2 linked regions of the Nothobranchius furzeri genome follow. The protein of the gene in region 1 purifies or fractionates together with the protein of each later gene. This does not show direct contact. Links are inferred from orthologs where the notes say so. Each region holds a gene or a part of one and is shown in the gene's direction. Other genes may lie near its edges.

The links.
Region 2: the proteins of nup133 (region 1) and nup37 purify together in Homo sapiens (affinity purification with mass spectrometry; 4 studies listed by BioGRID and IntAct, with this or other methods). This does not show direct contact. The link is inferred for Nothobranchius furzeri from reciprocal best matches to the Homo sapiens genes NUP133 and NUP37.

Annotation. Positions count from the first base shown.
Region 1 is NC_091747.1:67,780,657-67,784,308, reverse strand, and holds part of nup133 (nuclear pore complex protein Nup133), read left to right. Parts: intron 1-1,310; coding exon 1,311-1,405; intron 1,406-3,094; coding exon 3,095-3,319; intron 3,320-3,388; coding exon 3,389-3,511; intron 3,512-3,588; coding exon 3,589-3,652. UniProt on the Homo sapiens protein: Involved in poly(A)+ RNA transport. Involved in nephrogenesis.
Region 2 is NC_091741.1:39,616,586-39,620,237, reverse strand, and holds part of nup37 (nucleoporin Nup37), read left to right. Parts: intron 1-1,287; coding exon 1,288-1,360; intron 1,361-1,543; coding exon 1,544-1,638; intron 1,639-3,652. UniProt on the Homo sapiens protein: Component of the Nup107-160 subcomplex of the nuclear pore complex (NPC). The Nup107-160 subcomplex is required for the assembly of a functional NPC.

The DNA of each region.
Region 1 (3,652 bases):
GCTAGCAGTTGAAATTTGAAAACATTAAACAATTCTGGGGAAAAGTTGCACGTAGTCCTGGTTCCAATCGATGCTCCATACTCAACCCTAGGGTTGTCACAGTGTGAAAATGTAACCCCACCCACGGTTATTGTGACCAAAATTACCACGGTTTTCGGTTTTATCGCGGTATTTTTTTTAAACGTGCTACATTTTCACACAATTAAATAAACCCTGTATGTCAGGAAATATTGTCCTCAGTTTGTGTCTAAATTTTGCCTAAAATGTGTTATTTTGTAATGATGTTGTTTATTTGTTTACATTTTTCCCCTTTAGTCTTTAAAATACCAATATTTGCCCATAACTTCTTATTTTATGTCTGTTTGATGTCATAATTTAAAAATATTAGATCAGATGATACTCAGTACTCAAGTAGCCTTGTAATCAGATACTTTTTTACCCTTACTTGAGTAATAAACCCTATATCAGGAGAATATTGTCCTCGGTTTGTGTCCTTCCAGTGAGCTTTGCAGATGTGGGAAAATGTCATCAGGCAGTAATCATTGTTAAATTCATAATTATTCTCGGAGAGAGACCAACTCTTATCTGCCCCTGGGAGCCCCGTAATGCATAGATAGCGTCATTTCAACATGGCGGTGTCCGCGACACGGTTTATATGCAGGTAGCGGCGCTGCGGCTGCTTTATATAGCGACTCGTTGCATTCTCCCTCAACCCAAATCCTCGGATCACGCATTTTAGCTAAAGCGCTAACGTTAGCTTGCCTTGCGTTGACTGTAGAGTTGTGGGTGATGGTCACGCAGATGTGTCATGAGATTTGAAGCGTTGCTGCCTTTCACAGACACTTTTTCTGCTCGTGCTGCAAACAGGATAGCCGTCTTCTATCAGCTGTCCCTCGGCATTCTTCAGATATCCAAAAGATGCCCGTACTTCCCACTTTGTCTTCTTTGAGGGATAATAAATGTCCTGAGCGCTGCCGTCTCCTCCTTTGACCATTATTTCAGCTTTAGCTTCAAGAAAGTTTTGGTTGTAAACAACAAAGTGCACATGTGCCGCCGGCAACTTCAGCCGATGATACGGTGGCTGGTAAGGGTCACCGCGCCTACACCGCAGCCACGGTAATCCCACCGAGATAATATATGTTTTTTAAAAAAACAAGACGGTTATTATTATTGTCAACTTTTTTTTTTTACCGGGGTTTACCGCTACACAGGTTACCGTGACAACCCTACTCACGTGGGTCACTCCGCTTACCGAGCCAATCTCAGCTGGGGTCTGATTTATCTGTGCACATTTTTCATTTCTTCTCCAGAAAGTGCCGGCTTCCCCCTCACGTCCCTCATCATCCTCCACCAACTGGAAGACAAGATGAAGGCTCACTGTTGCTTCATGGACTTTCTGCTGCAGGTGAAAATGGCCGACCTGGATGTCTGTGTGAATAAGGATCATAATAATAATACATTTTATTTCAAGCGCCTTTCAAAGCTCTCAAGGTCACTGTACAGGACAAAATATAACAAGCAAGCAATACAAACAACAAGAAATAAATGCTAAAAGTAATTCCCAAAGGTAGAGTCGGAGCAGTGCGATGGATAATAGACTAAAAAGAGTAGATGGATGGAGGACAGTTACAGTCAGTTAGCCAGGCGGAACATGTGAGTTTTGAGTTGAGACTTGAAGGTTGAGAAGGAGTTTATGTTGCGGAGGTCGGGCGGTAGAGCATTCCAGAGTTTTGGAGCCGAGCAACTGAAAGCTCTGGCTCCATAGTACTAAGTCGAGTGCGAGGAACAGACAGGGAAGGTGAAGATGATGATCGGAGAGAGCAAGTGGGAGTGACAATGTGGAGGAGATTAGAAAGATATGGGGGAGCGAGATTATGGATGGCTTTAAAGGCATGAAGAAGTATCTTGTAGTCAATTCTGTATTTGACAGGGAGCCAGTGAAGTTGCTGCAGGACAGGGTGATGTGATCAAAAGTGGAGGTCTTGGTGATTATCCGGGCAGCTGAATTTTGGACTAACTGTAGCTTGTTGAGTTATAGGCATACAGGCAGGTTGCACCCATGTTGCAGAGGATGCAGCAGATCTTTATGTCCCACTGTTGGATGACTCCTAATGTTTCATGTAGGGTGGTTCCCATATTTTTGCCCTGACCTTCAGCAGTGCGTTCAAATAAGAAAATAAAGGGCAGCAAATCCGAGTGGTCCTTACATTTATCTATTATTGTTTCTGTATTTCTTTCTTTCTGTTTTCATGTCATTTCCTTCGTTTCTCTGCCTAAAAGCATCCCTCCTTTAGGAAGTGCGTTGATAAGAAACGTGTAAGTACTACAAAGGTATTTAAAAGTAGCCTCGTTGCTCAGATTTCTAGTTGGTTACTTCATCGGTATGCAGCTGAACGCAGGGAGACCGCGAACCCCGACATCTGCGACCACACACAGTCATCCAGCTATCTAGGCTGGGACCTTTTGATGTTGGGAGACCATTTGTCAGTGCTAGCGTGGGCTGGCTCCGTGTTTGTGTCCGAGTTGCCGCGGTGACCTGAGCAGGGAGTTGTTTTACGGCATCGCACTAGTCTGGAACTAAACTGACGCAGATATTTAGATGAGGCGAAACCTGAACGTCTGAAGAGACGGGCGTTTGTTTTTAGGGCGACGCGTCAGATTCACGTTGATTGCAGCTTTATTTTTTCCACCACGGTAAATACGCAGCATGCACCCATTTCAGGTCTCTGCTGGGTGGTTTAAGGTGTGTCCGAGCTGCAGAGATGACCTCTGACCTTAGGCGAAACGTTAGCTCTGCATTAGCCTGCTAGCTAACAGCTACAGGTTAAAATTAGACTAAATCATTCTTACATTTGAACATCTCCACCTTAGGAACAATGTAGAAGGTCATGATTGTTGCTTTATGAGGTCATCAAAACTTTATGCATTTGTTTTTTATTTTTACCGCGGCGTGCTCCCATGTGAAGATGTCATCCCGTCAGGCTACGAGCCCGTGTCCTTCACACCGACCCCTTTCTCCACCCCTGCCTGTCAAAGGTCAACATTTCTTCACAGATCAGTAAAAGATGTGTCTGACCCAACCTTCCTTCCTCAGGTGGGTCTGTTGGACCAGCTCAGCCAGGTGACGGTGCACTCGTCTCCCATGGCAACTCGTCTGCTGCTGTGCGAACACGCTGAGAAGCTGCAGGCAGCCATGGTGCTGAAGAACCACCACACCAAACACGCTGAGCTGGTGAATGGAGCCATCAGCATGGCTCTGCAGAGGAGGAACGTGGCGGTGCCGCCCAGCCTCACGGTGGCTGATGTCTTCTTCAGAGAGGTCCGTGTGTGAAGCCTTTGTGAAGGAGTGGCGTGGTGGCTAGATGACGTTTTGCCGCCTCTCTTGTAGGTGTCTCAGATCTCCTCCGTGTTTGAGTGTCTGCTGGAGGAGGAGGAGCGGAGTCTGAAGGTCAACCCTGTGGATTCTGTGCAGTGGGCCGAGGTGGTTCTTACCATCAACAGCATCATCAAGGTAACCACTGTTCTCTGTGAGGCGTGTGACCAGAGGGGATCCCAAATATCAGTAAAGGTGTGTGTGTGTGTGTGTAGGACATGCTTCAGGCCGCAGGTCAGTACAGGGAGACAAAAGCCTCCATGTACAGAGCTTCTGAAA
Region 2 (3,652 bases), on another chromosome or scaffold:
TATATCCTTGATGACACCTGAAACAACGTCAAACCAAAGAACGGTTCAAAGTGAAAATGGCTATTTTGTTGCTAATTTGCAGGAAATATCTAGAAGAAAGTTCTACAGAAAGTAGCTAAGGGTCCTCAGAAATGTAGCTAGCTTTGTCACTAGGCGTTAGGAACAGCGACAAAGTGGCACTGCCTCTCTCTCTGCTGCTAAAGCTACGGATAGCAAATGCTACGGGTTATGCCTGAGCGTGAACGTGCATGAAGCAGCCTGCTCGACCCGAGCATCTCTCTTTTTCTGTGATTTTACAGAAAAACAGGCAATCACAGTAAAAATGCCAGGGCTCATTCTACAGGACCAGGCATTGCAGGAGAATGTATGAAGAAGAAATGTATTATTTCTGTACATGTTTTGGCTGTCACACTTCCATAATGTCCCTTTAAAGACCCACTTTTATGATGTGGCTTTTAGACAGTGACTCGTTTTAGTGTTTTATTGTGTTAATGTTTTAATGTGATCTTAGTATTCCTCATGTTTTATCTGCTTTTGATCGGTATTTTTATCTTCTGCTTTAGTTGCTTGGGTTGGTTGTGTTTTGGTTTAACCTGTGCAGCACCGTGAGCAGCTCCCACACTGCGTTTTAAACGTGCTATATAAATAAACTATGGTATGGTATGGTATGGTTCATATGTATATTTATTTTATTATGCGAGAAGTGAGACATCTTCACAAAGAGAAAAAAATAAAACACAACTCCATAGAGTTGGAGTGTTTTCGAGCCGGTCCCTGTAAAACCGAGTCCGCTGCAGCAGCAAGAACCTGAACCACGTCGAGGGTGTTTGTAGTGACAGCATGCCAAGTCCATCTGTGCCTGCGCCTGAAAATGTGTGAACCGCTATCTGTTTATTCTGGTGATATGTGTGTGTTTTTCTTGTCATAAGTGAGTTAGTGTAATTGTGTGAGTAATTGCAGGCGCTGGTGTATACGAGGACTGATTAGAGGGGAAAGTCCTCTCCCTGGCTCGGAACAGGGTTTCAAACAAAGACATGCGTACATGGCGTGAGCGATCTTGTTTTTCTCCGTGTTTATCTTTGCTTGCAATTAGAATATCCCTGGCAGTGTTTCCACTGATCCCAGTCCAAGTTTCTGCCACACACAGACTCTGACTCAGAGGTGTCAGCCCGGGCGGCTGCAGGTGTGTGTGCAGAAAGATGTCGTGTGTCACCGAGTCTGTTTTTATGTTCTCTCTTTTGTTTATTTTTAAATCTCCCCTTTCTTTTCCTCTTCCTCTCTTTGCAGATTGTGCACCGCTGCAGCAGACAGAAAACTACGCCTGCTGACTTCTGATCTTCAGGAGCGGCACGAAGTCAAGGTAGCGCAACATCTGGAGCACATTGGCCAGAAACTTCGCTTGTCATTAGGAGTCTCCACGATCAAGTCTAGCAGGAAACAGATCTGCAGACTTAGCAAAGCAACATTTGCAGAAAACATTTATCTACCAATTTAATGGAATTTTTTTTCCCTTACCTGTAGTTTTCTCATGTTTGTTGCCTAGGCGATGGAGGGCCACACCAGCTACATTAACCATTTGGTGTTTGAGCCCACAGAAGGGAAACAAATCGCTTCCGTCAGTGATGATCACACTTGCAGGTCCAAACTATTTTATTTCTCTTTGTGTGTGTGTGTGTGTGCGTGTGTGTGTTCGTGTTCATTCCCAGCTTCTAATTTTCAGTCCTGTTTTTGGTTAATGGTGCAGAAAGACCTGACTGCGTTTCCACCGTGAAACTTGACGCTAAGCACAACACGGTCCAGTGTGACCGTGCATAAGCACAGAGCTGCTTTGTAGCTTCCTCTTGCTAATTGGTTAAATATGGAAATCCAATTAGCTGCAGTGAGATTTTTTTTCCCCCCTCTTAACAAGGATTCCTAAATTTTCCTTTTCAATTAAGGCTGGAAAAGGTGAAACATGGCGTCACCAGTGAGGGTCAGTGCTGGTTTTAGCTGCTCATTAGTGCTTATTTATTCATATTTGCTGTTTCTTTGAACTAGTGGTGTCAAGTCCGGCTCCTTGTTAGGTGTTGCTCTTCCCAGACGTTAGATCCAAGTCAAGTCAACTTTATTGATAAAGCACTTTACAACAGCATAAAAACTGACCAAAGTACTTAACAAGCCAAAAAGAACAGAAGTTCCCTAAAAACTCTAAAAATAAGATAAAAAGTTCATCACAAAGTAAAAACATGATAAAAACAAACATATCAAACTGACATAAAAGCTACTAAAATCAGATGCATTCTCAAACTGAATTAAAAGCAACTGAGAACAGATGAGTCTTTAAAAGTGATTTAAAACCCGACAGTGACGAAACCATCCTAATCTGAATTGGGGGTGCATTCCACAACCTTGGAGCTCCATCACCCCTGAGCTTGCTCTTTGTTCTCGGCACCTCCAGGAAAAACTGGTCGGCTGACCTCAGTGACCGAGACGGGGAGTGAGTAACTAAAACTTCACACAGATACTGCGGAGCAAGGCCTTGTACAGCTTTAAAAGCCAATAAAAGAACCTTGTACTGGACCCTAAAATCCACAGGCAGCCAGTGCAGCGAAGCTAAAATTGGGGTATAGTGCTCCCTCTTTCTCGAGCCCGTCAATAGGCGTGCTGCTGCATTTTGCACCATTTGAAGACGGGAGAGGTGAGACTGAGGAAGACCAAGGTACAGTGCATTGATGTAATGAACGCGTGAATCACCGTCTCAGAGTCATGACTTGAGAGCAGACGCTTAACCTTGGCGATCCTCCTTAACTGATAAAAACCGTCTGATTTGCTTTTCCAGAAGCAGATCACTGTCAAGCTGGACTCCCAGACTGGTTTCAAAAATAGGCTAGCGGACCAAGGTCAGCAGAACATGGCCCACTGGACACACTAGGACTAAAAAGCATGACCTCAGTCTTGTCATTATTAAAATGTAAAAAATTTGCAGACATCCAGGTTTTAACCTCATCGAGGCAGTTTAGAAGAGGATCTAAAGAATTGGGTAGGCCACGTTAAACGGGAATATAAACCTGGGTGTCGTCTGCATATAGATGAAAAGAACATCCATGTTTCGTAAAAATCGAACCCAGAATCCAGTGGTTGGATGATCTCCTTAGCATGACCTCTGGCTCTGCAGAAGCAAAGAAGAGAAGTACTGAAGTGGTTTGAACCCTTTAGTTCAAAATGCTTCAACATTTCTAACTTGGTGCACATCTTTCCTGTTTTGAGTATTTTGCATCCTTTAGAAATGCTTGTCAGCACGTGTCTGTAGGAATTATAATATTTAAATATTCACTCTGGCATCTGATTAAAAACGAGTAATCCTGCCTTACTTGTCAGGATATATACGCACAGTTAGCTGATGATGAGGTTTATGGTCACAATAAACACGAGCAGAGCCAGAAAAATGCAAACGCAAGCATCTTGGTTGCATTTTTGTTGTGGAAATTCCACATTTATCTGTAAAATACTAATAATCTGTTATGATGAAACATTTAGACGGACACGAGGATCGGTCCACGTCTGTGATCACGCCGTATAAACGTCCTCCGCTCCCAGCTCCCGAACCCCCTCCCGCCCCTCTGCCGACTGTCCAGAGAAAACAGGAGCCCGCTCCATCTGCTGAAAGGTTTAA